Notamacropus eugenii: one gene and its partners. The protein of the gene in region 3 interacts with the protein of the main gene of each other region in a biochemical or structural test. Links are inferred from orthologs where the notes say so. Each region holds a gene or a part of one and is shown on either strand. Other genes may lie near its edges.

What was found.
Region 1: the proteins of RAB11FIP3 (region 3) and ARF5 form a complex in vitro, tested with the Homo sapiens proteins (2 studies listed by BioGRID). The link is inferred for Notamacropus eugenii from reciprocal best matches to the Homo sapiens genes RAB11FIP3 and ARF5.
Region 2: the proteins of RAB11FIP3 (region 3) and ARF6 form a complex in vitro, tested with the Homo sapiens proteins (2 studies listed by BioGRID). The link is inferred for Notamacropus eugenii from reciprocal best matches to the Homo sapiens genes RAB11FIP3 and ARF6.

The regions. Positions count from the first base shown.
Region 1 is NC_092874.1:122,541,052-122,550,945, forward strand, and holds the start of ARF5 (ADP-ribosylation factor 5), read right to left. Parts: upstream 3,865-9,894; 5' UTR 3,858-3,864; coding exon 3,614-3,857; intron 2,847-3,613; coding exon 2,766-2,846; intron 2,438-2,765; coding exon 2,328-2,437; intron 1,536-2,327; coding exon 1,464-1,535; intron 115-1,463; coding exon 1-114. Other genes in the region: GCC1 (GRIP and coiled-coil domain-containing protein 1), read left to right, coding at 6,271-7,296, 8,674-9,894.
Region 2 is NC_092872.1:332,280,410-332,290,549, reverse strand, and holds ARF6 (ADP-ribosylation factor 6), read right to left. Parts: upstream 4,068-10,140; 5' UTR 3,772-4,067; coding exon 3,244-3,771; 3' UTR 453-3,243; downstream 1-452. UniProt on the Homo sapiens protein: GTP-binding protein involved in protein trafficking that regulates endocytic recycling and cytoskeleton remodeling. GTP-bound form plays an important role in the transport of multiple palmitoylated proteins form the Golgi to the plasma membrane.
Region 3 is NC_092872.1:54,401,310-54,411,798, forward strand, and holds the start of RAB11FIP3 (rab11 family-interacting protein 3), read right to left. Parts: upstream 4,290-10,489; coding exon 3,201-4,289; intron 1-3,200. UniProt on the Homo sapiens protein: Downstream effector molecule for Rab11 GTPase which is involved in endocytic trafficking, cytokinesis and intracellular ciliogenesis by participating in membrane delivery. Recruited by Rab11 to endosomes where it links Rab11 to dynein motor complex.

The DNA of each region.
Region 1 (9,894 bases), on a different chromosome or scaffold from region 3:
CAAACTCTGCAAACCCAATTTGTCTGTCAGCTCGCTCACAGGCATGGCATTGGGCATGTCTTGTTTATTGGCAAACACCAGCAACACGGCCTCCCGGAGCTCATCCTCCTGGAGCTTGACAGGGGAAAAGAAAGGAAAGATGAGATAAGGATTCATCACAAACACTGTAGGAAGGAATGAGTTGTTATCAGGCACCTCCTATGTGCCAGTCACTATGCTAAGTAAGCACTTTACAAATATTATCTCACTTGTTCCACACAATAACCATTGAAGGTAGGAGCACTTGTGAATTCCCCATAGAACAGCTGAGGAAACTGAGGCAGAGAGAAGTTAAGTGACTTGTCCCACAGTTATACAGCTAGTGTCTGAGGTGAGAGTTAATTAAGGTCTTCCTCAGTTTAGGCCTAGCAGTCTATCCCCTTTGCCACCTACCTGCCTCTAGGCAAGAGTATTCTACAGTCAGTAGAATATAGTATTTACAATCCTAACTGGTAAAACAGAATCCAGTATTTACAATCCTCATTTGTAAAACGGGACACTATTGTTCCACTTACCTCACATGAAGTTAAGATAATATAAGAATATTATAACAATATTTATTCATATATAATAATGAATATATTTCATATATAATATGAAAAGTATTTTATGAATTTTTTGACTATACATCAAAGTTATATTTTTGGTATATCAAAGTTAGTTATTTTCATAGCAACATTCCTCAAACTGGGTTCTAAAGAACCCTGATGATCTACATAGTGGGAGCAGTTTCTGGGAGAAGGATCTCAATTCAAGTTATATTTTCCTCTTCTACAATATTAGATATGAATGTATCAAAAATATTTATTACATGCAATTTTTTTCAGCACTAAAATAGGTTCAATTTCTTTGACTCTAAACTAACATTTTTCAACTTTATATTTTCTGTAAGTACTCTGTGTCCCCAGACCAGGATTTGAAAGTGCTTTATATAATTTATATATTTCAAGCCTCACATTGTTCTATAGCCAGATTGCTTAAGGAAATGCTGGTCTATATAGATAATACCACAGGCATTAAAATAAAAATAAAATAGTATTATTAATCTGAATGAAATCACCTTGGCCCTATAAAATGACCCATAGCTGTTCTTGGTAAATGGGATAGAAATCTACTTCAACATATTAAAGATACAACACACAACCTATCTCCCTTCCCTACCTCGATCAATATCCCACATAAACATGACAGAAGGATAAAAAGAAAGACTATTTTACTTGCTTCATCCCATAACATAAGGGGGAGAACTTTTCTCTTTCTTTACCCAGGATGAATCAACACAAGAGATTTTAAAACCAAAAAAAGACTCAGATCTCCTGGCCTAGACTGAAAACTAGTCTGTGTTTCTACGGTCTCCGCTATTTCTGACTCATGAGAGAGAGGGCTCAATGTCCAATGTTTTCCACAGCCCATCTGGCACTCACCATCTTCTGAAGCTCATCAGCAGATTCTTGGACCCGTTCTCGGTCATTGCTATCCACTACAAAGATAAGACCCTAGGGTGGGAAGAAAGAGCAGTTAGCTCACCCAAAGAAAATGAACCATAGTTCTATCTTTTCTATCCCTTTCCTTACATTTTCTATAACTCCACTTTCATCCATCAATGGACTCAACTGTCTTTCATTCAAAAAATGAAACAAAACAATATATATTAAAACCTAATTCCCTTTTCAGCATCTACTATATGCAAGGCACTAAGAGGGAAAATATATATACATATATATTATCTACTCTCAAAACACTTATTAATGTACAAGGATAGGTATACCAATATTGCGTGGGGAAGAATTTCATGAGGACCACTTAGAGATAGGATATAAGCAAAAACTACAGAAACATGAAAGGAAAAAGTGCTTCTGACTGGAGAAAGCAGAGAAAGCTTCACAGAAATGGAAGTGGTATTTGGGTGGGACCTTCATTGAAGGATGAACAGAATTTCAACAGGTGGAGGGAGGAGACTGGAGTGGGGAGAAGGGTGAAAAGAGGAATATTCTAGGTAGATGGAGCCATGAATAGAAGCATAAAGCGAGGAAAGCTTGTTTAAGAAACACAGACTAGGTCAAGGTGGCTAGACTCAAAAAGGGAATAATTGAAGAAATTGCTAGAAAGTAGAATAAAAGTTCCTTGAGGGCAAAGTGTTATTTTTATCTCTAGCATTTAATACAGAGTCTGGTACGTAGTAGGTGCTTAACAGATACCAGATATAGGAATGAGTTTTATTTTGTAGGTAACGGGGAACCATGGGAAACTGTATGTGTCTATTTAGCTATTTGTGCTCTCTGGCCCACCTGAGTGTTTTGGAAGTAGTGTCTCCAGAGAGGCCGAATCTTGTCCTGGCCTCCCACATCCCAGACGGTGAAACAAATGTTCTTATATTCCACGGTCTCCACGTTGAAGCCTGTGAGGAAAGGGAAAAGGGGGGGAAGCCTGGGGGGGAGGAGGGGCACTGTAATGTGGGCAGGTACATTCAACTCTACAAAAGCGACGGGAGATCAGCTTGGTCAGGAGAACTTCTGGGAGTCCCCCAGAAGAACATCATGCAGACTTAAAAGAATTAACCGAACTGGGCCCAGGGCTGCTGCTTCCACATCCTGGCACCATCAGCCAAAGACACCATGACCTACTTTCTTGGAGCAACTGTATCTAGTGTCAGGGTCAGGCCCCAGAGAGGAAATACAGGGGACGCTCACAGACTACCAGCCCTCCCCTCCGTCCCAGGAGCTCACCTATGGTGGGGATGGTAGTGACAATCTCGCCCAGCTTCAGTTTGTAGAGGATCGTGGTCTTGCCTGCGGCATCCAAGCCGACTGCAATAGAGAGGCAGGGTAATGGATACGGTACCCGAGAAGCTCCGACTGAGACGAGGAGGGAGAGGGCTCGGGAACGGGAAAAATGAGATCGGAAAGTCTCAACGTGCATCTCCCGCTCCGGGGAGCTACGTTAGGGGGGAGTCCGAGGGAAACCTGGGCATCACGAGCCATTTCTCTTCCCCTCCATAGAAAAACCCGCACGCCCAGGGCCAAACAAAAAACCCCACCCAAAGTGGGCCTGCGGATTCAAGGGAGGGCAGGACTCAAGGAAGGAGGTGGGGGCCCCACAGGGACGGGGGCTGCCTCTCCAGAGAGGCATTCCAGTCGTGTCCAAGGGCCTCGCGTGGGGGCGGGCGGCCGGCCTGTGGGTTAACCCCGCCCAGGCCGGCAGGTTCCCGGCCTGGGCGCCCGCAGGCTCCGGCTGCTGCTGCAAAGCGGAGGAGGCTGCAGGCTGGGCCAGCTGGGCTGCAGGCCGTACCTGTCTTACCAACCCCGCCCCCCGCTCCCGAGGGCCGGGGGTCTTTTATCCCTTCTCCTCCCTCACCCGCCACCCCGTGCCTCAGTTTCCCTCATCTCCTCTCTCGACCACCCCCACCCTCACCCCCGGCTCGGAAGGGGAGGCCGAGGCTGGGCGCGCAGGGCCGGGTGGGGAGGCTGCGGGGGCGGCAGAGGGATGCGGGGGCGGCGAGGCTGCGGGGGAGGCGGAGGGCGTTACTCCGTGGGCAGGGAGGGATGCGGGGCCGTGACGCTGCCCGGGACCTCACCCATGAGGATCCGCATCTGCTTCTTCCCGAAGATCCGCGAGAAGAGCGCGGACACCGTGAGGCCCATGGCTGGGCCAGGGAGGGAGGAGCGGGGAGCGGGGAGCCGGGAGCCGGAGCCGGAGCCGGCAGGTTGCTGGGGGGATGGAGAGCAGCAGCAGCAGCAGGAACCGGAGCCGCCTCCGCGCTTACAGGACCCGCGTGACGTCACCGAAGAGCCCCGCCCCCACCCAGGCCACGCCCCCATCCCGCACACCTTAAAGAGCTTAGAGCCCAACCTTCTCTTTTTGCAGAGGAGGAAGCTAAGGCTGGGAGGGAAGTAATTTGCTCGCAGTCACCTGGATGTAGGAGAGATGGGGTTCGAACCCTGCTCTTCTGACTCTAAATCACTTCTTTACGCCAGGAAAAACTGAAACAGAAAGAAGGCTCAGGAAGAACGCGTACCTCCCCCCCAGCATTCTGGAATAGTCTACCTTGTGTGTTTGTGGCAAGTTGAAGAAAGAAATTAGGGTCTCTTTCCAGAATATTGCCTCAGAGCCCATCATCCCTCCCACCATCAGGATCATTTGTAACAGATGCAGCTTCTCTTCCCCATGCCTGCCAGGGCACCCCAAGATGCGGTGTTTTTTACTCTTTAACCTCTTTCCATTCTTTCCCAGAGCCTCTGCAAGGTAAGGAGGGAATCTACGGAACCTGCCCATATTTCCAGGTATCACAACTGACTTACAATAAACACCAATGGTAATAAAACATTAATATTATGTGCTTTAAATCACCTTAACCTCTTGCTTCTACTATAAAGTAAGGAACGCATCTATGGACTTCTGCCCTGAGTTTCAGGTATCACAACTGACCTACAATAAACACCAATGATAATAAACAGAATAAGTATTAAGTGCTTTAAAATGTTCCAGGCACTGTGCAGAGTGCGGGGGTTATGAATACAAGCAAGACAGTTCCTGCTTTCAAGGAGCTGGGTTTTTTCAAGGGCATTAATTCTAAGGAACCCCAATGTGGTTTACTTACAATTCCCTGTACCTCAAGTAAATAAGAGGCAGGGTAAAGTAAGAATTTCTCTCTTTAGAGCAGAAATTTCCTCTTGTACTTTGTATCTCTCTGACAACCTCTAGCCCAGGTCTTGTCACATAGTAACTTAATGCTTGAATTAAATTGACTGGTAGGATACAGCAAAAGTAAAATAAGTTTTAGATCATAAATCTAGGGGAAGAAATCATATTCAAGTTCAGATGCAGTCCCCAGATTTGCTGCTTTTCTTCTCTGTAGTTATATAAATACACCTCTAAAACAGGGCTTTTTTTTGGAGGCAATGGAATTAAGTGACTGGCCCAGGGTCATTCAGCTAGTAAATGTTTGAGGCTGAATTTGAACTCAGGTCTTCCTGACTCCAGGAACTGTGCTCCAAACACTGTGCTGCCTAGCTGCCTCAACAATAGGTCTTTTGAGTTGGAAAGGTCATAAGTGATTATCCACTACTCTCTTTTGACAAATTAGGAAACTTTAATGAACAAGAGAAATAGTGATTTGTCCAAGGTTGCACAGGTAGAAAGATATTAGGGGAGAGATTTAAACTCAGGCCTTACTCACAAATTCAGGATTCACTTCCACTACACCACGAAATGCTAGACATCTGTATCAATAAACACTTGCTGAATTGAATGCAGAGATCTGCAGATGGCCAATTTGCAAATTTAGAGCAAACATCTCTCAGGAGGCACCTGACCATAATGGCTGCAGCTTTCTGGATCTTCTAGACTGGTGAATAGAATAATATGTATTCGTATAGTACTTAAAGCAAATTGCTTATTTGATCCTCACAACAGCCCTGTAAGGTAGGTGCTTTCATTCCCATTTTACAGATGAGAACACAGGCAGACAGGTTAAGTGACTTGCCCAGGGTCCTGTAACAAGAGGTATGGAGAACAGCCCCTCAATACTCCCGTCCCCAGCTTCCCATGGGGGGCGGGGTTCTCCTTCAAGCACTACAGACATTTTAACAAATATCATTTATACGGTGCTTTAAGGGGTCCAGGAGTCAAAAAGAGGTGAAGAACTGGTGGTCCTAGATCTGGCAGGGGGTCGCCTCCATTCCCTGCGCCGCAGTCGTGCATACAGGTCTCTCTATGCATTTTCCCCTCCACTGCATCAGATACCCTGACCAGCTCAGACCCCAGGAAGCAGCGCCCAGCCTCGCCTAAGAGCAACCGCAGCAGCTCGACTGGCGCTCGAGGCCCCTCCCCTTGGCGCTCAAAGGCCCCGCCCCTCTCCTTATGCCCCACCCCTTCGCTCTACGTCCCACCTCTCCTCCCCGAGCGCACGCCTATCCCGAATGCCCACCTGCACTTCCGGCGGAGCCGGAAGCGTTGTTGACAACTGACTTGAAGTGGTTACCGAGTTAGGATCGGAGCCGGAACCGGTCTGTCCCGCTTCGGGGGCGAAGGGAGCGAGGGGCGCCGCGGCGTCTGCTGGCTTCGTCATTTGCCCCGCTAGCCCTCTGGGGCCGGAGCCAGGAAAGCGCCTGACATGGCGGCCTTGGCAGCTGCACCCCCTCGGCGGGAGCGCGCGTAAGGTCGGACCCCTCCCCGCACTGTCCCCCCCACCCCAGACTCCGTGAGCGGTGACGTCAGGGAGCTGCCCCTGCCATGGAGAAGTTTGGCATGAACTTCGGCGGGGGCCCTAGCAAGAAGGACCTGCTGGAGACCATAGAGACGCAGAAGAAACAGCTGCTGCAGTACCAGGCCCGCCTCAAGGACGTGGTCCGGGCTTATAAGAGCCTGCTGAAGGAGAAGGAGGCCCTGGAGGCCAGCCTCAAGGTGCTCTCGGCGTCCCACGAGGCTGACGATGCCTGCCAGGCCCCAGGCCTTCCCCTGGCCGAGGCTGTGGATGACCGGTGCTCCACTCACAGTGAGGACAGCACTGGTACTGCCACCAGCCTGGACACAACGGCCAGTCTGACCAGCACCAAGGGTGATCTCGGGGTGGAAGATGAGAGACTGCCCGCTGGTCCAGCACCTCCGAAGTCTGAGGAAGCCAGTGGGTCGGAGAGTGGCGTTAGTTCCAGTAGTGGGGATGTGCCAGCCAGTGTTGGCGGGGAGATCGACAAACGTTTGCACCAACTGAAGACCCAGTTGACCACCCTGACCAGCTCTTTGGCCACAGTGACACAAGAGAAGTCCCGCATGGAAGCCTCGTACCAGGCTGATAAAAAGAAAATGAAACAAGATTTGGAGGATGCCGGTAGGAAGGCTGAGGAAGAAAGGAGCCGACTGGAGGGGGAGCTCAGGGGGCTGCAGGAGCAGATGGCAGAGACTAAAGCCAGGTTGATCACACAGCAGCATGACAGAGCCCAGGAGCAGAGTGATCATGCTTTGATGCTGAGGGAGCTGCAGAAACTGCTACAAGGAGAGAGAACCTTACGGCAGGATATTGAACTGCAGCTAGAGGAGACCCGGGAAGCCCTGGCTGGACAGGCCTATTCAGCTGACCAGGTGGAAGGGTTCGAGTTACAGATCAAACAGTTGACCCACGAAGTGGAGGAACTGAAGCAGGAACTGCAGGCTCTTCGAGAGGAGAAGACTCATCCAGACCCACGGCTGGAAGAGCTTCAGGAAGAAGCTGCCCACCTTAAGAGTCATTTCCAGTCCCAGTTGCAGCAGGAAATGAGGAAGGTAATTCACCTTATCTGATTCAAATCTATAGGTGCTTAATGCGTGACTAAAAATATTAGACTTTTTCTTCTTTTCAAACCCTATACTGTAGTTGAAAGAAGTGCTAAATTTGTAATAAGAGTTCAAATCCTTACTATGCCACTTACAGCTATGTACCCATAGACAAGTTGCTTTATCTTATAGAACTTGGTATTCTCTTCTACAAAATGAGGGATTTGGACCAAATTTACCTACGAGGTCTCTTCATGCTTTCAATTCCTTTATTTTCATGGTCCTTACCCAAAATTTCTCATGGACAAATTTACTGGAAAATCTTGGTCTAATTGATGTTTACAAAAATTACAGAACATACGTCTAAGGGGATGTGGTATTTGTGGGTGCTGTCTGGAATTAAGTTGGAGTGCTTCCAGATTCTAGGCATTGGCTTCTTAACAGCTGTGTTAAGGAAAACAGTGAAGTACTGTATTCTATTTGTGTGGTTGATATTTTTTTCAGAAGGAGGCAGTTTCCTTCAGTTGTTCTCAATCAGGATTTGTTTTGGAGATGAATGTGCTATCCCAGAATACTGTTTTGGATTTTATGAGAATACCGCTTTTCAATTCTGGACTTGCTAGGCAGGGGTAGCATACAGGAGCGTGCAGTTCCTGAGGATAAACAGCAGATTAAGGGTGATAGACATAATATGCTAGACGTGTGACAAAAATGTAGAAACTGAAAGCAGAATAGAACTGTTCATGAACACTCAATAAACATGTATCTGTCATGTGCTAAGGCACTGTGCCAGGCAATGAGATTACACAGGGGAAAAAAAAACATTCCAGGCCTCAAGGAACTTAGACTCTACTGGGTAGCAGGTGTCAGGAAGAAACAATACATGTACACAGATAAGTATAATACAGGATAGTGTTTGAGAAGAGCAAAGGAGAAATCTAGATAAAGTGTCACAGGAAAATTTAAAACGGGAGAGAAAATTTCTAACTGGATGGATCAGGGATTCATGGAGAAGGATTCATTTTTAGCTTCTTGAGCTGAAGACAATGCTTCTCAGGGAATAAGTGTAATGCATTTGTTTTGACTTGATCTAGTAATAGTATTAATGCTCATGTGATTTTTGTCAAGTCACAGAAAATGACCTTAATATTATTTGGTGAGATAAATTCTGAGTCTTCAAGGGGTGAGGGCAGGGTTGCAGAATGGGAGTGGATAATAGTTTAAGTTTTGTTGGTGCTTGAATCAATGAAAAAGTTCTCTAAAGTTCTTCCCATTCCTACCAGCACATCCTATTTAAGTGCCCTCTCTCTTCTCTGCCTTTCCTAGATTCAGTGACAAGCTCTGCACTCTCTCTTAATTCATCTTTTTTGTTTCCTTGGTTTTTAGACTGCTTTGGCAGAGGAGCAGCTCCGTCAGTATTCTCAGATGGAGGAACAGAGGGTGGCTGCCCTAGAGAACCAAGTCTCAGAAGTGTCTGAACTTCTGGGCACCTATGAGAAGGCTAAACAAAAGGATCAGCTGGCAATTCAGAAGCTCAAGGATCGCCTTCTGCAGCTGGATATGGAGAATAAGACACTTGCTCTTGCAGCCTCCAGCCGTTCTCCCCTGGACAGTCACAATGAGGAGACCAGCCTGGATGTCAATGTTCTAAAGGATAAGATGGAGAAACTGAGGAGACTGTTGCAGATTGCAGCCAGGAAGAGCCAGGTGTCTCTGAATATGGAAAAATTGTGTGAAATAGAGATGTTGACAAATTCAGATGCTGCTGATGGGGAAAAGGCTACTGCACTCTACTACCAGCAAGAGCTAAAGCAGTTGAAAGAGGAGTTTGAACGGTACAAAATGAGGGCCCAGGTTGTCCTCAAGAGCAAGACAACCAAGGATGGCAACCTAGCCAAGGAACTGGAGGAAAGCCAGGAGCAGCTTGCAGAGCTGAAGGAGAAGTACATTTCCCTTCGACTGTCCTGTGAAGAGCTAGAACGGCAACACCAACAAGAGGCAGAGAGTTGGAAGCAAGAGTTGGCTCAGCTGCAGCAGGTTCATCGGCAGGAGCTGGAGAGAAGCCAGCTTGATTTCCGGGACCGGACACTGAGGCTTGAAGAAGAACTTCACAAACAGAGGGATCGTGCTCTAGCAGTACTTGCCGAAAAGGACTTGGAGCTGGAGCAGCTCCGTTCTGTGGCTTTGTGCTCTGGGCTGCAGGGACATAAGGCCTCGGTAGGCCAAGGGAGTAATGGAGATCTAAGTGACTCATCTCCAGATAGTTTGACCCAAGCTCTGCACCTGGCTGCATCAAATGAACCTACTTTCTTCTTGTATGCTGAACAGCTGGCTCGAAAGGAAGTTGAGATAACATCTTTGAGGAAACAAAAGCATAAGCTTGAGGTGGAGGTACACCAACTTCAGGACAGGCTCATTGTGGAGGGTGAGCAGCACCGAGAACAAGTCTGTGCTCTACAAAGCCACATTGAAAAAAGTATCAGGGACCAAAGCAGGGAGGGGGCCAATCTGGAGTACTTAAAAAATATAATCTACCGCTTCTTAACTCTGTCTGACTCTTTGGGTCGCCAGCAGACACTTACAGCCATATTGACTATCTTGCATTTC
Region 2 (10,140 bases), about 280 Mb from region 3:
GAAGTAGCTTTCATTTACTAATCCATTTTATAAGCAGCTGCTATTCTATCTTTATCAAAGAAGCCCTCCCTGTAGGACTTCTAAAATGTAAAAAGTAAAGTAGGCCACATTCTTTGTGAATGTAACTATATTCCAAAAATCCACATAATATAAGTGAATAGTCACATAACAAGCTGCTACATGGAAGCTTTTAAGTAGTTCTCAATTATATCTCTGGTCCATGTTCTATTTTAAAATCAAGGAATTATCACTGTTCATGTTAACTTTTTCTGCATAAAAAAGTAAAAGCTCAAACGCACCTTACGAAACCAAGAACATGCACTTCCTAAAACTAGAGACAAATATCACATCGATGACCCCAAATCAACAAAACCACTTTATACACTTTCTGCACAGGAACCCAATATACCATATGCTTGACTGTTTCAAACAAGTAATATACCATGAGAAACTGCTGTGTAATTTCTTTATTTTCTGCATATTAGTTCTTTTTCAACACTACAGTCATTAAAAACACAATTCCAAGTACTGTACTGTTAGGGAGATAGTCTAGAGACTCATTTACTTTTTTCAGACAAGATTAACCTCATTCAAAACTTAATGCATCTTATAAAACATGAACACAGAACTTGATGCACTTTAAACTTCAAATTGTTCCTTAAAAATAACTGGAGTTCTTAAAAGATATGATTGTTTCCCCCTGTAGATTGTATTTACCAGCCCCATAATTACTAATGATTATGGTTAAATTTAACTAGAAAAATTATAAACTATTTTTCATTCATTAAGGAAAATCTGAAGTAAAATTTACAATTGCTTACTAAAAGGTATTCAAAGTTCTACTGTATTTCAAAATGTTCATTTTCCCTTTTCAGACATTTCAAAGAACCTGAAAATAATTTCATTACCTTTTCACCTATTCAAAAGAAATCACTTAAGCATATAAAAATCTTTTAAACACTGTTTTAATATTAAAAAATTGAAAGCTAACCAATCCAACTGCTTGTTTCCAAAAAAAGACACATTAAAAAGAATTTCAAGAACTATTAGCATGAGGGCTTCAACTTTCTTCCAGTTTGGGAATTTTCTGTGCTTATCTTATTCCAGATGTTACTAGTACATTCTGATATTTGAATATCATTTTACAAACATTTTATGTACCTTAAAAATTAGAATCGTTCAAAAGACTATGAATTAAATTTATGATGGAGCCTTAGAAATCTTTTGTAAGGGTACCCAAAATGTTTTATTTCTTCAACCTAATTTTCAGTAGGCCTTGCCCCTGAATGAAGTTAAACTGCTAAGTTACAGCAGAAATTTTAATTCCTATTCCATATAAATTCTATAGAAACAGTTTATTATCTATTAGTCTATTAAGTAAAATATTTGTCCAAGTTGTTTCATGTCAAGAAGTGAATTTTCTATAACCTTAAGCCCCCTCATATCTTTGGTAAAAAGCACCATCATACATTTTATGGTCAAAAAACATGCAGGATTAATACTGCACAACTGTAGTATGATGTCTCATTCAAACTTTTGCGGATTTTTCATAAACCCCAAGTGCACACACAAACATACAGACACACACCACCTCATTTCTGATTTTATAGTATACATTCTTTAAATTCCAAATTTTAACTTTTTAATGATCTCTAAAAATTAATATTTGAGGCTAAGAACCAGCTTCTGCTGCACAATTCTATATCAAGTTATTAACATTTGATTCAAAGTACTCTCAACTATCTGGTTAACAATGTAATCTAGTTATACTGACAGTAGCTGACAAACGGACAAACTGGTTATCTTTCACAAGACTTATAAATTTACATTCATCGTCATATGTAGGATCATTACCTACATATTTTCCACTATTTACTTGGCATTTCTTATCAGTGGATTTTATCTAGTCATCTATCAATTTTCCTTTCCTTCTAAATTTAAATAAATGTGAACTAATAAAGTATCTGATTACCACCTCCATGAATTAAATCTACATTCTCACAAAATTAAGTCAAACTTTAAAAAATAATCCATCTTTTTCACTGATAATTAAGATATAGGTCATTTGTAAACTCTAAAAAAATTACTTATTTCTTCAACTTAATCAGCTTCTGCGATAGGGAAACTGGAATGTTTGCTTTTGCAGTTTGGAAAAAAGATTGATAATTTGAATTTTTAAAAATATTTCAGAACTGACCACAATAAACAGACTAGTAATTATCAAAACTCACTGTCTGGTTTTTGCTATCTTATCTGCCAACTAAAAAAAAGCATGTTTTGTCAAAATGTAACAAAATGTTTCAGCTATCAAAGTGGTGTGTACCATTATTGCTCTATTGCCTGAATAATTCTTACACTACTATCGGAAGTGAACAAAAAAGCAACGAGAGAAAATTCAACACAACTGCTAACTTTTCAATACGAGATCTATGGCCTGTTCAAACTTTCACATTTTCATTCAGGAAACAGCTAGCTATGTGGTACAGCAAATTTGGTCTTATCCCTAGTCATGCAAGATGTATGTTTCAGAACTTAATAGCTAACATTTCAAAGCACTTCTTACATTACCTGCTTAACATTACGGATTTGCACTTGCAAGTTATTACAATGGTATCACTTGTTTGCCACTGCAGGCAAGGTTTTACCATTCTAGTTTTAGATATGAAAAGACACACCTGAAATTACTAAAGTTAGAACTCTTTAAAAAAAAAGAGTCCTTAAATATAAAAGACAGACTGCAGTTTGATTAAGCAATAATTTTCAGTTTACTAGATGAAACAGACTTGCAACATCGTCTGCATGAATGCAAAATAAGCCATCTACAGCAAGTGATAAGGTAACTGGGTAAAAGGGGGGAGACATACATTGAAAAAAAAGATTCCCTCAAAATAAAAAAATCAAACCATTATTATAAAGGACCATCTCAAGAGCTGCTATATTTTCCCCCACCCCATTTGCTGGAAGTCAACAAGAGCACCTAGTACTTTGTGTTCATGTCAAATGTCAGACTAGAGCGTCCTAAAGCAAAGCAAAAAAAAAAAAGAAAGAAAGAAAGAAAACAAACAAAAGAAACCCCCCAAACCCCAGCCCCCCCAAACAGTAAAACAGTAACTCCAGAGTCCATATTCAAAAGAAGAGAAAGTGGCATTTTGGAGGTGATGGTGGTGATAATCCTATGAATGTTTTTTTATTTCTCTCCTGAGGGGAGTTGGGGAGGGGGGTGTGATGGGCGGTGAATGCTCATTAGGATTTGTAGTTAGAGGTTAACCATGTGAGGCCCTCATAGAGTCCATCCCCTGAGGTGGCGCAGGAAGGCTGCACATACCAGTTCCTGTCCCGAATCCGGGTCAGGCCCAGTTTTTCCTGGATCTCGTGGGGTTTCATGGCATCAGGCAGGTCCTGCTTGTTGGCGAAGATGAGGATGATGGCGTCCCGCATTTCCCGGTCGTTGATGATGCGGTGCAGCTCCTGGCGGGCCTCGTCGATGCGGTCTCGGTCGGCGCAGTCCACCACGAAGATCAGCCCCTGGGTCCCGGTGTAGTAATGCCGCCAGAGCGGCCGGATCTTGTCCTGGCCGCCCACGTCCCACACGTTGAACTTGACGTTTTTGTAAGTCACCGTCTCCACGTTGAAGCCCACGGTGGGGATGGTCGTCACCGACTGGCCCAGCTTCAACTTGTACAAGATAGTGGTCTTGCCGGCGGCGTCCAGCCCCAGCATCAGGATCCGCATTTCCTTGTTCCCGAAGATCTTAGACAGCACCTTCCCCATCGCGTCGGAGAAGCCGGGGCTGGGGGCATTCAGGTGTCCCGCGTCCCCTTAGGCACCGCCGCCGCCGCAGCCTCCAGGAAACCGAAGCGGTCCCGCCCAGCCGCGAGGACGCCCTGCGGCCTGCAATGGGGGAGCCGCCGCCGCCTAGGGGCCGAGTCCCGGGGCCCCGCTCAGTGGGACATCACCGGCCCCAAGACGGGCTTCCTCCAGCCGCCGCCGCCGCCGGCCAAAAGCTGCGCCGCGGGGAGCCGCCGCCCTGGTGAGGCCCAGCCCGGAACTGCCCTTCCCCCCCAGGCACCGAGCGCCGCCGCCGCCGCTCCCGCTCGGCCCGCTCCTCGGGCTGCCTGCCGTCTCTCCTGGCCCCGCAGCCGCCGGAGACCCCGGCCCGCCCGCCCGCCGAAACACCGACCCTCGCCACCCGAGCGACAGCGGCGGCTCCGGCTCCTCGTCAGGTCATTGATCCCCGGAGGGACTCGGTGAGCTACCTGGAAGGAGACAGAGAGGAAAGAAAGGGAGAAGGGGATTACCGCCGGAACTCCGGGGAAAGAAATGGAGGACCTGAGTACCCTCCTTCCCCACCCAGCCCAAGCAGTTACCTCCGGCCACCGCCCTGTATGCAGGGTCCCCCGGCCGACGCTGCTGCCGCCGCCGCCTCCTCTTCCTCCTCCCAGCTCAGCCCCAGCCACAGCCGGAAAAGGCGCCGAGGAAACCGCCTCACTTCCCCTCTCAGCCACGCAGGCGCAGCGGCGGGCAACCGACTGTTCGGAAGAAAGGGACCTCTGTAAGAAGAGTGCTCTCAGCGCCTCGCGTCATCGGCGCCACGCGGGGAAAAGGAGAGGCGCGGACTACGGTGGCCCGAAGGGCTCCCGCGGGTGACGGAGGGGGCGGGCCAATCCAGAGGAAGGCTGGGAGGTGGCTCTCCCGCCCTCTCTCCTTCTTCTTCTTCCCCTAAGTTTCCATTTCTTTCGTTCCGGCCGCTTCACCACTTCCAGGGCCGGGAATCCTCGGGAAAATCCTCCGGCGTGCAGGGCCTGCCTGCCCCCCGCCTACTAAACGCTCCCCTCATTCCGTCCTGGCCTTCGCCCCGGCCTGACCCCGTTTTCGTAGTTTCTCCCTCCGCCCCCCGCTTCCCGCCACGCCGCGCCGCACGCCCCCGCGGACCTCGCCGCCCGCCTTGCCCTGCGCCGCGCCACGCCGCGCCGCTAGAGGAAGACGTACGGAAGAAGCCCACGCGGCCGCTCCTGCGCCCGTCGGCGCGCCCCGCGCTGGGCTAGGCCGGCCCTGGGTGTGCCCTGTGCGCCTCCCCGGCTGCCGAAACTTTAGAAAACCTCGTTTCCCTTCAGTTTTAAAACCGTGCTGTGGCTGCCTGTGTGCGTGTGCGTGTGCTTCACGGTGTCCCGCAGTGGAAGCTCCCGCCCCCGGGCAGGATCCTTTGAAATGTACGAGTCCGTGTCAGTCCGGACTGAGCCGAACCTCGTGAGTGAAGCCGAAGTCTGCCAGCGGTCCGGACCTGGCCTCCGACCTCCCGAGCCCGATTTCCTCCTCTGTAGAACCTTCCAGCCGCAGATCTGTCCTCCTCTCCTGCTCCTAGGCTTAGCCTGCATTTTATTCCAAGGGAGTTTTTATTAAATGCCAAGAAGTTATATCATGGTATCTACAAAGTATTGAAAAAGCACCGACCAGAGGAAAAAGATTTGTCTTTACTTCACTCAGACAAGTCTCAGTTTCCACAGCCTTCCTACCACCACCTCCTCCGAGGGTTGTGAAGATCAGCTGAGTTAAAATACGTGCATGAACGCTAGTGATACCAGTACAAATCAGAACTAAAATAATGGGAACTTAGCCATGGCAGAAAGAGGAACTAGTGAAAAAAGAATGGTTTTTTAAAATTGGGTTTGGTGTTCCGTTGAGTAGTTGGAGAGATGGCAGGTTGCTCTTCATAGGAAGGTACAAAATTAAAAGGTGAAGTAAATTGCTCTATGAAAGAGAACAAAATTCTTAAGCCAGTAATTCACAGGATCTGTGGTATCAGCCATATGACTTCTCCCTCCACGTACCAATCACAACTCACTCCTGCACTTTCTCACTCAGTATGACTTTGCCTCTGCCTCCTGTATCCAATGTGCTGGCTCTTAACATGTGAATAACTGTGGGGAACACGGTCTTGTCCTTCTATCTGCCAATACCTTCTGTTGTCCTTCACTCTTGCTACATGACCAGCCAACTTTCTTATGCCTTATGGCAGCCAGGTGGTATAGCTAGTAAGACATGAACTCAAATCCTGCCTTAGAGAATCTGTGACCTGGGATCTGGAAATGGCTGTTTTTATACTGAGTTGAGTTGAGGATCAAATGGGATAACATGAGGGAAGCCCTTCGCAAATCCTCACCTGGTGTATAAATACTAGCTAGCTATTAGACATCACTTTGATGTGTAATGAAGTATAAAGGATCATGTTTGATCTTTTGCACTGCTTTTTTATAATGCTTTTTTTAATGATGTTACCCATAATTTTGATGCTTTGGAAAATATGGTATTTCATGATCACGGCCATATAGTATCACTGAAAGAATATTGAGTTTTGTTATATGGAGAAGTTAGGGATCATAAAAATAACAGTCTCCTTAGCTTGCTCTTATTCCTGTTCAGTTCTACCTCTCCCCACCTATCCTCTTTGCATTGTTTGTCCATATAGTGATAGATCATCTTACTACTTCATTTAGAAAATAGGCATTCTTAATTTTTTTTCTATGTTGATAAATAGACCAAATTCTTTTGAGTGATTATGGATCCTTTTTACATCTACAATGTTGCAGGTCTTATCAGAACAATGACATCTGCAAGGTGACCCAAAATGCATAGAATGTTGGACTTGGAGTGAAGAAGACATGAGTTTGAATGTAAACAGGGCAAGTTACAACCTCTCTCATCCTCAGTTTCTTCACCTGTAAATTGAGATTTTATCATGTGCCTCTCAGAGTTGTGAGGATCAAATGAGGTCACGTATAACAATTGCTATGTAAATTTTAAAGTGCTATATAAATGCCAGCTATCATTATCTGAAAGGAACATCACCATTTATAAGATCACCATCTTCCACCTGGACTCAGTTCTGGAAATCTTGCATGACAGTGCCAACACCTTTGACGAACATATCTCTGTTTTAAGCTTCATTTGATATTAATAGTGAGACCACATGGCACAGTGGTGCCCTCCTGGATCACCTCTTCCTTGTTTTGGCAGAGGTGCTTGTGTAATTCCACATAATATAGTTTCATTATGAGCAATGACATATGGAGTTACCCAAGAAGGACAGGTTGTAATGGAGAGTTCTAAGGAAAGGAGTTCCATTGGAGTGGTTTCTGAGAAAAACCCATGGAGGACAGAAGGATGTGCCTTTGGGGTCATGAAGAGTTGGACACAACTGCACAACTGAACAACAGTGGCATAGTGGATAGAGGGCGAGCTAGCCTCAGAGCCAGGAAGACTTAGTTTCAAATGTCATCCCTGGGCATACTGCCTGTGACCCTGTGCAAATCACTTAACATCTAGGTAACTTTCTAAGACTTGCAGAGAAAGGCCAAACTTACATTGATAGAAGACATCTCATCATCTCAGATGTCCAGTCCCTATCTTGATATTAATAAGCAGAGGTTCATTGAATAGAGTTCTCTCTTACATCTTCCAAGGAATCATATATAATTTCTAACATGCATGGAAGACATCTTGTTGCAGGAGAGGCTTTAAGGTGATAAAAAGCAATTTTTTAAAAAATCAGCAGACAAATATAATACAAAGTTTCTCTGCACCCTTCAATCAATTATGAGATCTACCCTTCCGTGCTTATTATGCATTGTTTTCCTTACAGGCTTCCTACAATGCTACTAACCTGGCCTTCTTGTTCCTTTACATATACTGTAGCATTCCATCGTTCAGGTCTGTACCTTTGTACTTGCCTTCATGCTTTGAACATACTTGCCCTCACCTCATTTTAGCTCTGCTTCTTAGAATTTCTGGTTTCCTTCAAGGCTTTTCTCAAATACCATCTCCTAAATGAAATGTTTTCCTGATCCTCCCAGTTGCCAGTGTCTTCCCTTCTTGAAATTACCTTCTATTTATTTTGTATGTACTATACATGTAAAGGAACTTATAGTTATTCTTTTATTTCCTAGGTGTTTTTGAATTTCACTAGCTTTTGTCTATAAGTACTTAAACACGCACAATTACAAGAACTGCACAGGACGGGCATGAGTGGGTTGTGGTCTAAAGTGATTGATCAGATCGCTTATAGTTAAGTATTTGAAAATTTAGATGTATTTGTATTTGATGTGTATATGTGTGTATACATATAATATTTATATATTTATTTATTTTATTTTCTGTTGAAGGGGCCAACCCCCTGACTACTTTTTAAAGAGGCCTATTCACTGAATGGGAATTACCTCACTTTCAGTGAGTACCTGAAAAGGCCTTAGCCTAAAAGGTCAAGGTCTCACATTGCATCATGGGCCATCCCCAGTCATCCTGATGAATAGCTGCTCACTGGATCCAGAGTGCTCAGGAGGAGAAAGTGAAACTGGTGACCTGCATAGCCCTCCCTCACTCAAAACAAAGTCAAGTGCAAGTCATGTCGTCATTTCTCTGACATCATGATCCTCTTTGAAAACGAAGGACAGACACAACAACAACCACGTATATAGATTGTTTCCTCCTGCTTGAGGGTAGGTACTGGGGTTTTGGTTTGTTTGGGTTTTTTTTTGCATCCCCAGCTTCTAGCAGTATTTGGCATATATTAGGTATTTAAGTATTTATTAATTGGTCATAAAAGTATAGTCTTCCATAGAATACTGTTTATTTTCTTCTCATGTCTTCATCAGGGATATCCTCAAAATTAGTTGAGATTATTCTAATAAACTATAATTTTAATTTTTTTCCACTAATAAGGATTTTCTCTCCCCAACTCACATACTATGCCACTCCCCTGAAGAAAAGAAAAATAAAACCCTTGAAGGAAATATGTATAGTCAAAATAAATTCCCATGTTGGCCACATATATATATATCTTATTCTGCATTCTGAATGTATCACCTCTCTGTCAGGAAATAGGTAGCATACTTCATCATCAGTCTTTTGGAATTGTGGTTGATCATGGCATTGATCAGAATTCTTAAATCTTTCAAAGTTGTCTTCACAATGTTGTTGCTACATAAATTTTTCTCCTGGTTCTACTCACTTCCCTCTCAGTTCATACAAGTTCTCCCAGGTTTCTCAAAAACCATCTCTTTCTTCATCTCTCATAACACAATGATATTCCGTTGCATTCACATATAATTTGTCCTCTGTTTAATGAGTACCCACTTTGTTTCCAGTTCTTTGCCACTACAAAAAAAGTTGCTATAAATATTTTTGGTACATATGAGTCCTTCTCCTCTTTCTTTGATCTCTTTGAGGTACAGGCCTAGTAGTGGTATCACTGGGTTGAAGCTTACAAAAAGCTTAGTAACCTTTTAGGCATGGTTCTAAATTGCTTTCCAGAAGGACTGGACCATATCACAGCTCTCTTATGAGTGTTTTAATTTGCCTCTTTTCCTGAAGCCTCTCCAACATTTGTCAGTTTCTTTTTTTTTCCTAATTAACTTTTCCATATGAAGAATGTGTGACAGAATGTCAGAGCTATTTTAACTTACATTTCTCTAATTTTTAATGATTTTGAAGCATTTTTCATATGACTATTGATAGCTTGAATTGCTTCCTTTGAAAATGAGAATAGTTCTCATTCTTATAAATTTAAGTCAATTCCTTAGTATTTTGAAACTTTGTCAGAGTTACTTACTGCAAAGATTTTTTTCCCAGCTACATCTTCATTTTTTATCATATTTTTTCAATTAAAATTCACCTTTTTGCCTTTGTCTAGTCACTGTCAGTCATGTCTGACTCCTTGTGAACCCTTTTGAGGTTTTCTTGGCAAACATACTGGAGTGGTTTGCCATTTCCTCCAGCTCATTTTACAGGTGTGGAAACTGAGGCAAACAGGATTAAGTGACTTGCCCAGGGTCATACAGCTATGAAGTGTTTGAGGCCAGATATAAACTCAGGTCTTCCTGACTCTAGCCCTAGCACTCTATCAATGCACCACCTAACTACCCATCCAGAGTCTAATCACATATTTTCTTGAGATTCACCCTCCATGGTTGGAGTTTGTTTTGCCTAAGTTAATTCCTCCCTTAATGTACCTTCCATATTATTCTTCATTCCACCTTCTCTCATTTCCTTCCTGTTTGTTTATTGATTGAAGTGTATTTCTGTACCCAGTTCCATGTGTATATTCTTCTCTCCTTTGACTTGTTCAGGTGAAAGTCAGGTTTAAGT
Region 3 (10,489 bases):
CTTACTACAACCCTGTAAGGTAATGTTATGGGTGTTGTTATCCTCAAAAGGTTAAATGACTTGCCCTTGGTCACACAGCTAGTAAGTGTTAGAAGTAGTATTTGAACTGGGGATTTCCTGACTCCAACTCAGCATTCTACCTTATGTTGTCCCCCATATACCAAGATTTCCCATAACACTGCAATTTAATGATCTATATAAGAAATATTTTCATAAGTACAAACTGAAGCCCATCCACATTCTTAAGTTATATGGCACAGTCAATGGTTAAAGATCACACAATTATATAGAAACCAAAGACAAAGATATTGTCAAGTCCACATGGCAAAGAGAAAAGGCTGCAAAATAGAAACACTATCAGCACTATGGCAGAGACGACCAACATGGTAAATGTGGAATTGATACGTGTCACTTCTCAGCTATACCTTCAGTCCAAAAAGAAATACTAACACAGATGACCTTCAAATGCAGATATATGTCATTTAATAACAATGAAATTAATAGATATTTTCAGGATGTAAAAAGGCAACAGAAGACAAAAATGGCATATCAATGCACTATTGTTGGAATTATGAATTGATCTGACCATTCTGGAACATAATCTATAACTATTCTAGAAAGGGTACTAAACTTTATATACCATCAGATCCAGGGAAATCCCTATTAGATGTGTAACACAAGGAGATCAAAGACAGAAAGATCTTAATGTGGACAAAAATGTATTTTCTATGGTAACAAGAAAAAAATTGAAACAAAGTGGGTGCCCATCAATTAAGCAACAGCAGAATGAATTGTAGTATGTAAATGTAACATTATTTGCCCCAGAAGAAATGACAGCTATAAAGATTACAGAGGAAGTCTTGTCTAAATAAACTGAGGTAGAACAAAATAAGCAGAAAAAAGAGAACTATCTCTGGGCAAAGTTCACAAGAGTATAAAGAAAAACCTGAAAGACATTAGTAATCTCTGATTAGTGGGGGGCTCTCATAGGTCATAGATCAGGAGCTGAAAAGAGCCACAGAAGCCTATGTCTATTTTACAGATGAGGAAAATGAGGACACAAGAGATTATGACTTACTCAAGGTCGTTCAGATAGTATGCATAAGAGGTAGGTTCTCTGATCACCTTCCAACATATGAAATGGGGCACAAGGCCAAGGTATTGCTTTGTTATGCCTAAATATATTTTTTTGTTTCAAGGAGGGCTTTGGGGTGGCGTGGTGTCATTTAGAAGTGACAACATAAAGATTTTTTTTTTAAGTAGGCTCCACACCTTCCTAGGCTACGCTCAAAGAACCATGAGATAGATAGCTATATTGTCATGTGTGTACAGTATGTTTCAGACAATAGATATCATAAATATTGTGTTTTTATAGGTAAGGCTGACTTATAAACATCATTACAGTAAGTAAATAGTATTCTGAATAGTTGATATTACATTTTATCTTTAAAAGGATTTCTGCTTAAATTGTGAATATACTTTAATGCCCAATTTAATGCTGATGTATATACAAGAAGCCACCAAAGTATAAAATCCTATCAGAACCACATTTAGGAACTTGTCATTACCCTATAGTTTACAAAACAGTGGGTACAGATAGCCTTCTAATAAAACATATTACTATAAACTAGGTCACATAAGGACCATGATCTTGTGCCATATACATAAATGCAAATATGTATCTGAAAATGATGAGCCTTAAGCTGCGAAAAGGATGGTAACTTAAGAATCACTTTAGACAAGAACTTGTAACAATGTGTAGTTTTCAACTAATGTTGAAAAGCAGACAATGTTTAATGAGAGGTTTTTAAAAAATAAGAAGAATCCTTAAGGTAAACTAAAAATTTAATTACGTCTATCACTATCAAAATCTTAAGAGATTTTTCTGATAGAATCATTCAAATCCCACATCTGCCACTTCCTATCTGTGTGATCATGGTCAGATCACTTTACTGCTCAGTGCCTCAGTATCCTCATCTATATATTAGGTAATAGCACTTGTACAACCTACCTACCTCACAGGTCTGCTATGAGCTAAGTGCGTTGCAAACCTTAAGAGCCTATATACATGTTATTATTATTGATGACTAGTTTAGTCATGGGGAAAAACAATTATGTGGCCTTAGTTTCCCTAGTTGTAAAAGAAAGGGTTAGAATAGATGAGATTGGGCAAGTAATTTAAACTCTCTGGGCCTCAGTTTCCTCATCTATAAAATAAGGGAGTCACTCTAGATGGTCTCTGAGGTTCCTTCCAGCTCTGGATCTACAATATGCCATGATTATCTCTTGTTGGAAAGAAGCCCTGTGAGGAGGCCCTGAGTTGAAGAGAAGAGGAAGGAGTGACAGGCAGGAGGAGGCATCCCACCCAGCAGTAGCAACATCACTGCAGGCTGTGGCTGCCAAGCCAAAAGGCTGCTTGCTGACTGTACAGAGCCCTTGAGCTTCCTGCCTGGTAGCTCAGGCAGAGGGAGTTTGCCTGAGGTTCCAGAGGTAGCTGGTTCAAACTCAGCCTTTCCTTCCAACGCTAATCATCTGTTAATTTGTGCATTTAGTAATTAAATAGTTCAAAGGAGTATAGGCAGAAAATCAATTGGAGGTAGGGAAAAATAATTCTACTTTTCTTGGCTCTAAATAAAAAACCCCATTATTTAGAAAAATTCCTAACCACACATTTTAAAATAACTGTTCAAAACTAGAAGCTACTAATATGTCCTTCGCAGTTACAGGATTTTATAGGTCCTTATGTATTACCTCAACCCCCCTCCCCCAAAAACCCAGCTATAAGTTCAGGTTTTTGATTAAGGTTGGCCCCTCTAACTTTATGTCCAAGATTGCTCTAGGCTAAAGTTGATAAAATTATCCTTACTAGATCTAGAAGATATTTTACCGTATTTGTGGGAGAGTGACACAAAAACAAAATTTTAAAGGGGGGGAGGGGGAAAAAGATTCAAAGAAATATGATCAGAGATAAAGGACACTACAGTGTGGAAGGGGAAAAAACCCTCCCAACGCTATTATCTTTGTCCATACATTTCAAGATTGCCCAATATTTAATGTAAACAGATATACTAGTGACATTATTTGTTCATGATGGAAAATCAAAAAGATAAATTTTCAGATGAAATAAAAACACATGGGAGGCACATAGTCAAGGACATACAAACAATTACCTAAATCAGAGAAATGTTGGATTATATTACCTGTTCTGCACCATAAACCGTAGCAAATTGAACAAACTCTTCTATACGGACAAAACCATCCCCATCTCTGTCTAGGGCATCAAACACAGCTCTGAGGCGAGGGCCATCTTCCTGACACCCGGAAGGCTCATTTGGAATTGGTTCAGTCTGGTTGAAATCAGAGGGTTGGCCCAGGTTATTCTGAACTATATCTAATTTCAGATCACACAAAGTGGAAGTAGTGAAAGAGGGAAAGAAGTTTATTTCATTACTAATTTGGTAACTATGATTTAAATCCTCCGCACTTAACGAAACACTTTTCTGGCATCTTCCGGGCACATAATCCTCTGGCTCTTTAGTCCAGGAAAAAACTGGATCAAGTCCTGAGAGCTGGGTTTTGGTGTCCGGGGGAGCAGCCTGGTCCATGCCTAAGTAAAAATCTCTTTGATCCTGAAGAATGTTATCCCTTTCTCCAAGGCGGTTTTCCGTACATGATTCCTGCTCCCTAAATTCCATGCTCAATTGTAAATCCTGCGGAGGTGACCGAGGTGGGCCCAATTCCAGAGCATAGAGGTCCTCCTGCTCCTGCTCGTCAGAACCTGTTAACCGGTCGGAGACTTCGGGATCCTGCCCCAAGGTAAGAGCTGTATTAAAATCCTCTTCAGACGAATCGTTAACCACACCTAGCAAAGACATCTGCTTGTCACTGACAGATAAATCCCGGTCGGGGTCCGCGACAGGAGTATGGGTCTCTTGGTCCAAAAGACAGAGGTCCGGATTTTCTAACCGATACAAATAGTTGATGGGTCCTTCAGAAAATAAGTCCTGGCGGAGCTTCACCTCCCCCAAAACTTGCTGGAAAGCCACAGACCCCTTTTCCTGCAGAACAGGCCCTAAAAGCACCGAGGGCTGCGGGGGGGTCTCTGGAGGAAGCAGCACCAGATCGGGACCAGGCACCTGCCCCCGGGATTCCTCCGACACTTTCTCCAGGTCCATGAGGAAGTATTTCCCTTTCTGCTCCGGGAACAGGTCCCCGAACGTCAGCAGGGAGTCCGACGTGGTCCCGGCCGATGCGGACAGAGTCACGAATAAATCCGGCTCCATTTTCATGGGAAGGAGACTGGCCGGGGAGGCCAACGACGGCGAAGCAGCCCCCACCCCGCCCCCACCCCTCAGGGCCGAGGCCGGGCTGCGGCCCGCGACGGCGGGGCTGCGCGGCGGGTGATTCCCTGCGGCTCGGGCCGCAGACAAAAGAGCTCCTCAGACACCGCGGGAGGAGGAGGAGGAGGAGGAGGAGGAGGACGGGCGGCGGCCGCCGAGAGCATCACTGCATCCGTGCGGGCGCCGCTGCCCTGCGGGCACCCCCAGACCCTCCAGCGCCCGGACCAGGCGAAGCCGCGGCTGGGGCCGTCGGGCCCCCGCATCCATCTTGACCACCGACGCCCCTCATCTCTCCGCACACACCGGGAGCGGCGGGGGGGGCCCCATGGCGGCTGGGAAGAGGCCCACGACGAGGGGAGGGAGGGATGGGGTCGCGCTGGGGAGCGGTGGGGGGGCCCGCGAGCCTAAGGAGAGAGCCCACCGCCCTGGCCGCTCTGTTCTCGGGTTCGATCCCCGAAGCTGAGGGGGCGGAGGGTAGCCTGAAGAGTCGGGAGGCAGCTGAGCTCGAGCCCTTAGCCCCGCCCCTTCTCCCGGCCGCGTGGCGTCAACACGTTCATGAGCGTCTGGATTGGCCCCGCCCCCTCCGAGATGACTATAAAAGAGCGGCGCGGCGGTCTGACTAGGCCCCGCTGCGGCGGGCGCCGGCAGGGGTGGGTGTGCTGCGAGGAAACGTGGGAGTTTGGAACTGGCTCCCTCCTCACGCCCCAGGCTCTTTGTCTCCGCCTCCTCGAAAAAGGAGGTTGGAGTGTGGGAATGGGGCTGCTCCAGGTGCCAAGCCGCGGGAACGTACTGGTGGGCCCTGTGGCTCTCCTCCCTCTGGGGGAGGGCGAGGGGGAAGTTAGAACTGCGGGGCCGCCGCTGCCGAGGCGGTGACGTCACCTGATTGCCTTGTGCTGGGGTGAGCGGAGGTGGTGCTGAAGGATGGGGCGATCTGGGACCGCACCGGTTCCCAGCCTCCTCCCCCACACCCCGCGGGAGCCTGGGTGCCGTCCTAGTCCTCAAGGAGAGGCCACCTTCACCATAAAGTGGCTGAGGGTGTGCGGCGCGGCGCGGCTTCGATGCCCAGGACCGCCCGGACGGCCGGAGCGTCCGTGGTCCTCTTGCCTCTCGTAGTGGCCATCCCTCCGGGATTCTCGCCTTAAATGAGGGGCTCCCTCCCGACTGGGAGGACCTCTGAAGTCCGCGCCCGCTTAGAGGGGAGGGGAGGGGGGCCGGGGCGGCCCCACCACAGACACACCCCATTCTGCCCTTGCCCCGGGGGAGCCGCCCCGCATTCCTCTCTCTCCATCCCTCCCTCCCTCTCCCCTCCGCCCAGGGCCGGGCTGGGGAACAGAAGCTCTTTTGGCTCGACCTCCCGGGAGCCGGTAGTGGCCAAGGTCTGGCTCCCGGGAACCTGCGGCGATGCATCCGACTTCTGACCGCGGGCTGTCCGAGCACTCACCCTTGACAAGTTCCTAAAGCGCTTGCCCACGGAGGAAGGCAACAGGGGGCTAGAAACTGTCCCAGAAACGAAGAACTGGGGATGCGCCTTGCGCATAGTGGGTGCTTGATTCAGTGTCTCTTAAAGACCTGGCAGGAGGGGAAGTGTTTTGTCTGGGTTGTTCTGTTTTTCCTGAGGAATGGACAGGATTTATTAGATTGGTTTAACCACGGCTTTTCCCACAATTGTAATAAGCGGGGGGCGGGTAGTACAGGGATTCTCCCCGTTGTACAGATGAGGGGAAAGGCTCAGAAAGGGGCAAAGTGATTTGTCTATCTACCAGTAAGTGGACAGCCTGCCAGACTGCAACCCCACCCTAGAGTTCTTCCCACCAGACAAGAGACAGGACTGTCTTTTGCCTCTTTTTGTAACTCCAGCGCGAGCGCCTGGAACATAGTAGGCACGTAATATTAAATAGAAGGATTCGACTTCTGCTTAGTCCCAAAAGTCAGACCTAGTAATAATAAGTCTAAGTCCTATGCAGGTAAATTTTGATGCGAATTAAGGACAACCTTCCTAATAGAACTGTGTTTTAAAAAATGGAATGTGCTGCCTCATGAGGTAGTGTGTCTCCCATTTGCAGAGCTCTTCAAGCCAAGCGCACATAAAGTTGTTGAAGAAATGATTTGTTCAGCCTTTGGAGATAACCTGGGAGGATCTTTTCCAGCTCTGAGATGCTGCCGTTGTTTTGTGGTTTTATTTGATCCTCTCTACAGCCTTGTGGGGTAGACTGGGTAGAGAGCATTATCCCCATTTTACGATTGAAAGTAAAGCACGGAGGGTAAATGACTTGCCCCAAGATCACAGAGCTAGGAAACAGCAGAGCTCATAATTCAATCTAGGTCTTCTGACACCAATTCCAAAGCCCTTTTCACTACAACAATGAAAGAGTGTAGTTGGATAACCACAGCGTATTGTACTGGTCCTGGATGAACATGAAGAATGACAAAATCCCTAACCAGCAGAATTTCAATCCCTATTAACCTGTGAAAACATTTAAGATAGCGTTTGGGTTGCATGGCAGTTGACAGTCTCTCACGTTTTAGAGGCAAACAGGTAGGTGTTAGAGAATAGAGAAAAGGGGTCGTGACAGCTTCAGGAAGGGTGACAAATTAGCATATGGCAGAATTTATGATGAATATAATTATGAACTGTTATCTTACCACAGAAGAGTATCAGAGTTGACAATGGGCCAAAGAATAGGTTACTTCATCCTGTCTCTGTGTGTAGCCCTGATAATTAACTGACTCATCTCCAAACCTTCAATCACAGGAGGACTACAGAACAGAGTGTGTAGTGTGTGTGTGTGTGTGTGTGTGTGTGTGTAATTTTAGGAGGTAAAAGAAGAAAAACCCTCAGAACTATTTTCTAAGTTGTAAGAGCCAAGTCCTGAAACAAGTGAATTATTGTGTTCAAGGGAGATAAAGACCTGCTTCTGATTTCAACAGGAATTTGAAAATAGACTCCTGACTTTAGCCGATCAGTTTTTCACATGAGTTTTATGTCAACCTTACTCAATAGAAGGGTGGTGTTAATGTGGATGAGACAATAGTTAGAATTCCTCCGGCCAGATAAAGAAAGGTTTCTTGCCTAAGAGCTCTGTAGAAGGTGGAAAGCTGGTTTGGTGTGTAAATGTGCCCTATTGTTTCAGAATCTCGGGACTGAAAGGGACCAGAGGGCATCTAATCCAATCTGAACCTGAACAAGAATCTCTTCTACAGTGTACCAAAAGAATACTTCTCTGGTTGCTAAAACTATTTTGTTGACTGACTCAAGTGCTGAAGTTTAAAATCATAACAATAAAAACAAGCATTTTTCTGCTTAGTTAAAAAAAAAATCTACCTCAAACAGAAAACTAAAATAACAGTTCACTCTAAATGAATCATTTTAGTAGCATGTTGTAATCAGGTTTTCAATTTATTGCATTCTAAACTAAATTAAATTAACTAAGTCTTGCCAGCAACCAGTAGCAGAAAATCCTTTACTACCCTTTTGGCAAGAATCATTCTCTCTTTTAGAAGTAGAATAATTGAGACGTGGGAGAAGGTAGCCAGGAAGTCTTGATCATGCTCCACCTACTTTTGGAAGCTTTTTCAGATTTTCTTCCCCTCCTTTCCACACACTTACCCCAGTAAATGGGATGGGGGCTGGGTGAAGTCTGATGGGTTTTCCTTCTGGAATTAATTACAGGTTTATCTTCCCTCCCAATAGAACCTAAGCTCCTATGACAGATAATTTCCTTTTTGTGTTAGCATCTCCTTGCCTAGTAGGGTGTCTTGGGCATTAATGGCCCTTAGGAAGTATTTGAATTGGAGTTGGGAACCTGACAGGTTTTATGGCCTGACAGCATATATGAATGTTTGTTTTTTAAATCAACCTGTGAAATTCTACTTTTGAAAGATTGTGGGAAAGCTCTCTCCTTTTGTGTTTATTGAGCAGACTAAACTAAAACTAAAACTTTTACAGAAAGCTTTTTCCAATCCCTCTTAATTTTACCAGTTGAAAAAGACTGTGTCTCCCCCTCCTCCCTCACACACACCCTTTGCTATAGCCTGTCTCCTCAATGTCCTTGAACATTTGTATCCCCACCTCACTGCCTTTGCTCACATCATTTCCCTTAACTGAAATGCCTGTCCTCTTTTCTACTCAGCCCTGACCCATTCTTTCAGGCCCTGAGCATCCCATAAGTTCAGAGTAATCTTATCCTCCTCTGGACTCCTAATTCTCTTGTATATAACCCTCATTTGGTATTTGCCGTATACTCACAACATATATATTCATGTGTGAATTTTGTCTCCTCTAAGCTGTGATCTCCCCAAACTCAGGGCCTAGGTCCCCAAAATGTGAACTCCCCAAGTACAGAGTCTAGGTCTGTTCCTTGTTTGTCCCTGTAGCAGTGTGTAGCATAGGACTGGGCACATAGGAGTCAGTGGGCTGCCCATTTCCCACACAGCATAGGAAGTCACACAAATAACCTTTCTGTCAAGAAACTCAGGAGTCAAGTAATCCACCTTCTTCACCACCTTCCCACCAGATTTATAAGGAACTCATTGACTCTGAATTGAGACCAATCACCTAAGGGAGGAATTTGAGAGCAGAGCTTTGAGCTGAAGTGTGAGGTACCCGTGTCTATACATACTTGTGTGTATCTGTGTCTTCGTGATACCCTCTTCCCCATCCTTCTCTAGGACTGGACACAAGGACTTAACACAGAGTTCCCAGTTGGTAACATGACAAGCAGAGCAAAGCCCAATTCACACTATAACCCTTTGCAGTTATGTTGTCCCCATTTTACAGATGAGAAAATGAATATGAGTTTGCCTAACATTCCCAGGGTTGCTTAGATGTTAAACCCAGCTCTCCTAACTCCCTGCCTAAAACTTCTTCCATGAAAGTGCTACCAATCCTAAAATCTCCCACTACCCCTCCTGGGTGACCTTGGGAATCTTGGATGGGGAGGACAGGATGAGGTTGTAGATGAAGACAGGGGAAGAATAGGGCCATTGCTGCCCTTTCATAGTGGCCCAGCTCCTCCATAGATTCTGACACTGGAGAGCAGAGTTCCGAGAGCTGGAACTGACTGGGGAGAAAGCTGATCATGAGTGGGTAGGACTGGCAGAGCAGCTAAAGCTACTGGAAGGCAAGCCTCAGGAGCAGTCGGATTCCTACATCTGCCTCTGTTAATTATTTCCTACTTATCTTGTATGTAGCTTGCTATATGTATTGTCTCCCCCATTCAATTTGAAACTCCTTGAGGACAGGGACTGTCTTTTGACTCTTTTTGTATACTGAGCACTTAGTGCAGATCCTGGTACACAGTAGAACTTAGTAAATGATTAGTGTTTGGCTGATTGATTGAAAGAGCTGCTTTCTTTAACTCCTTTTCTTGGGGATGACAGTATGGCCTCCAAAAGGGAAAACGAGAGAGGGCTGTTCAGGAAGGAGAGGGGCAATGAATCGGCAGATTTCCTTCAGAGCATCCTCTGACTTTCTCCTGCCAGGATAGGCAGATGTAGGTCAGGAAAACCCATGGGTAGAAAGTAAAAGAGTCATCATGGCGGTCAGACTAGGAGAGCAGTGCTGTCTCTCCAAAGCTTAGCATTCGTTAACGATGGCATTCTCATCATCATTGTGATCATTAGCTGTAGGTTGAAATTTAATGCCTGATTAAGAAGAGAAACCTGAAAGTCAGTTCAAAATGAAGTGCTGGGGAGCAGAGTGATGTTGGGCAGCCCACAACAAAGATTCTAGCAAGTGTAACGGGTTGGGAGAATAGAAAAATGGAGATGCATATTCCAGTGGGGAATCTGTTCTAGGAGAAATGAGTCACAGGTTTGGAGCGTGTGACTGATAACAAGTTCTGGGAACAAGAGCCCTACAATCTGCTGTTACCTTCCTCCTTTCCTATACACCAATAACACCTCCGCCCCCCAGCCAGATAATTCACGTGCATCTCCACCTGCATGTACTCCATCAAATTCTTCTCCTTCTCTGCAATGCTCTACCCACTAAATGTTAACTCATCCAACTCCTTAACTTCCTTAGAGCTTTTAGTTTCATAAACTAGTTTTAGTTTAAGTCTAGTTTTAGTCCCATAAAACCTTCTACTGACGGCCTTAAGCCTCAACACCCATTGTACTCCGTCACTCACTTCATTTATGGGATGAAG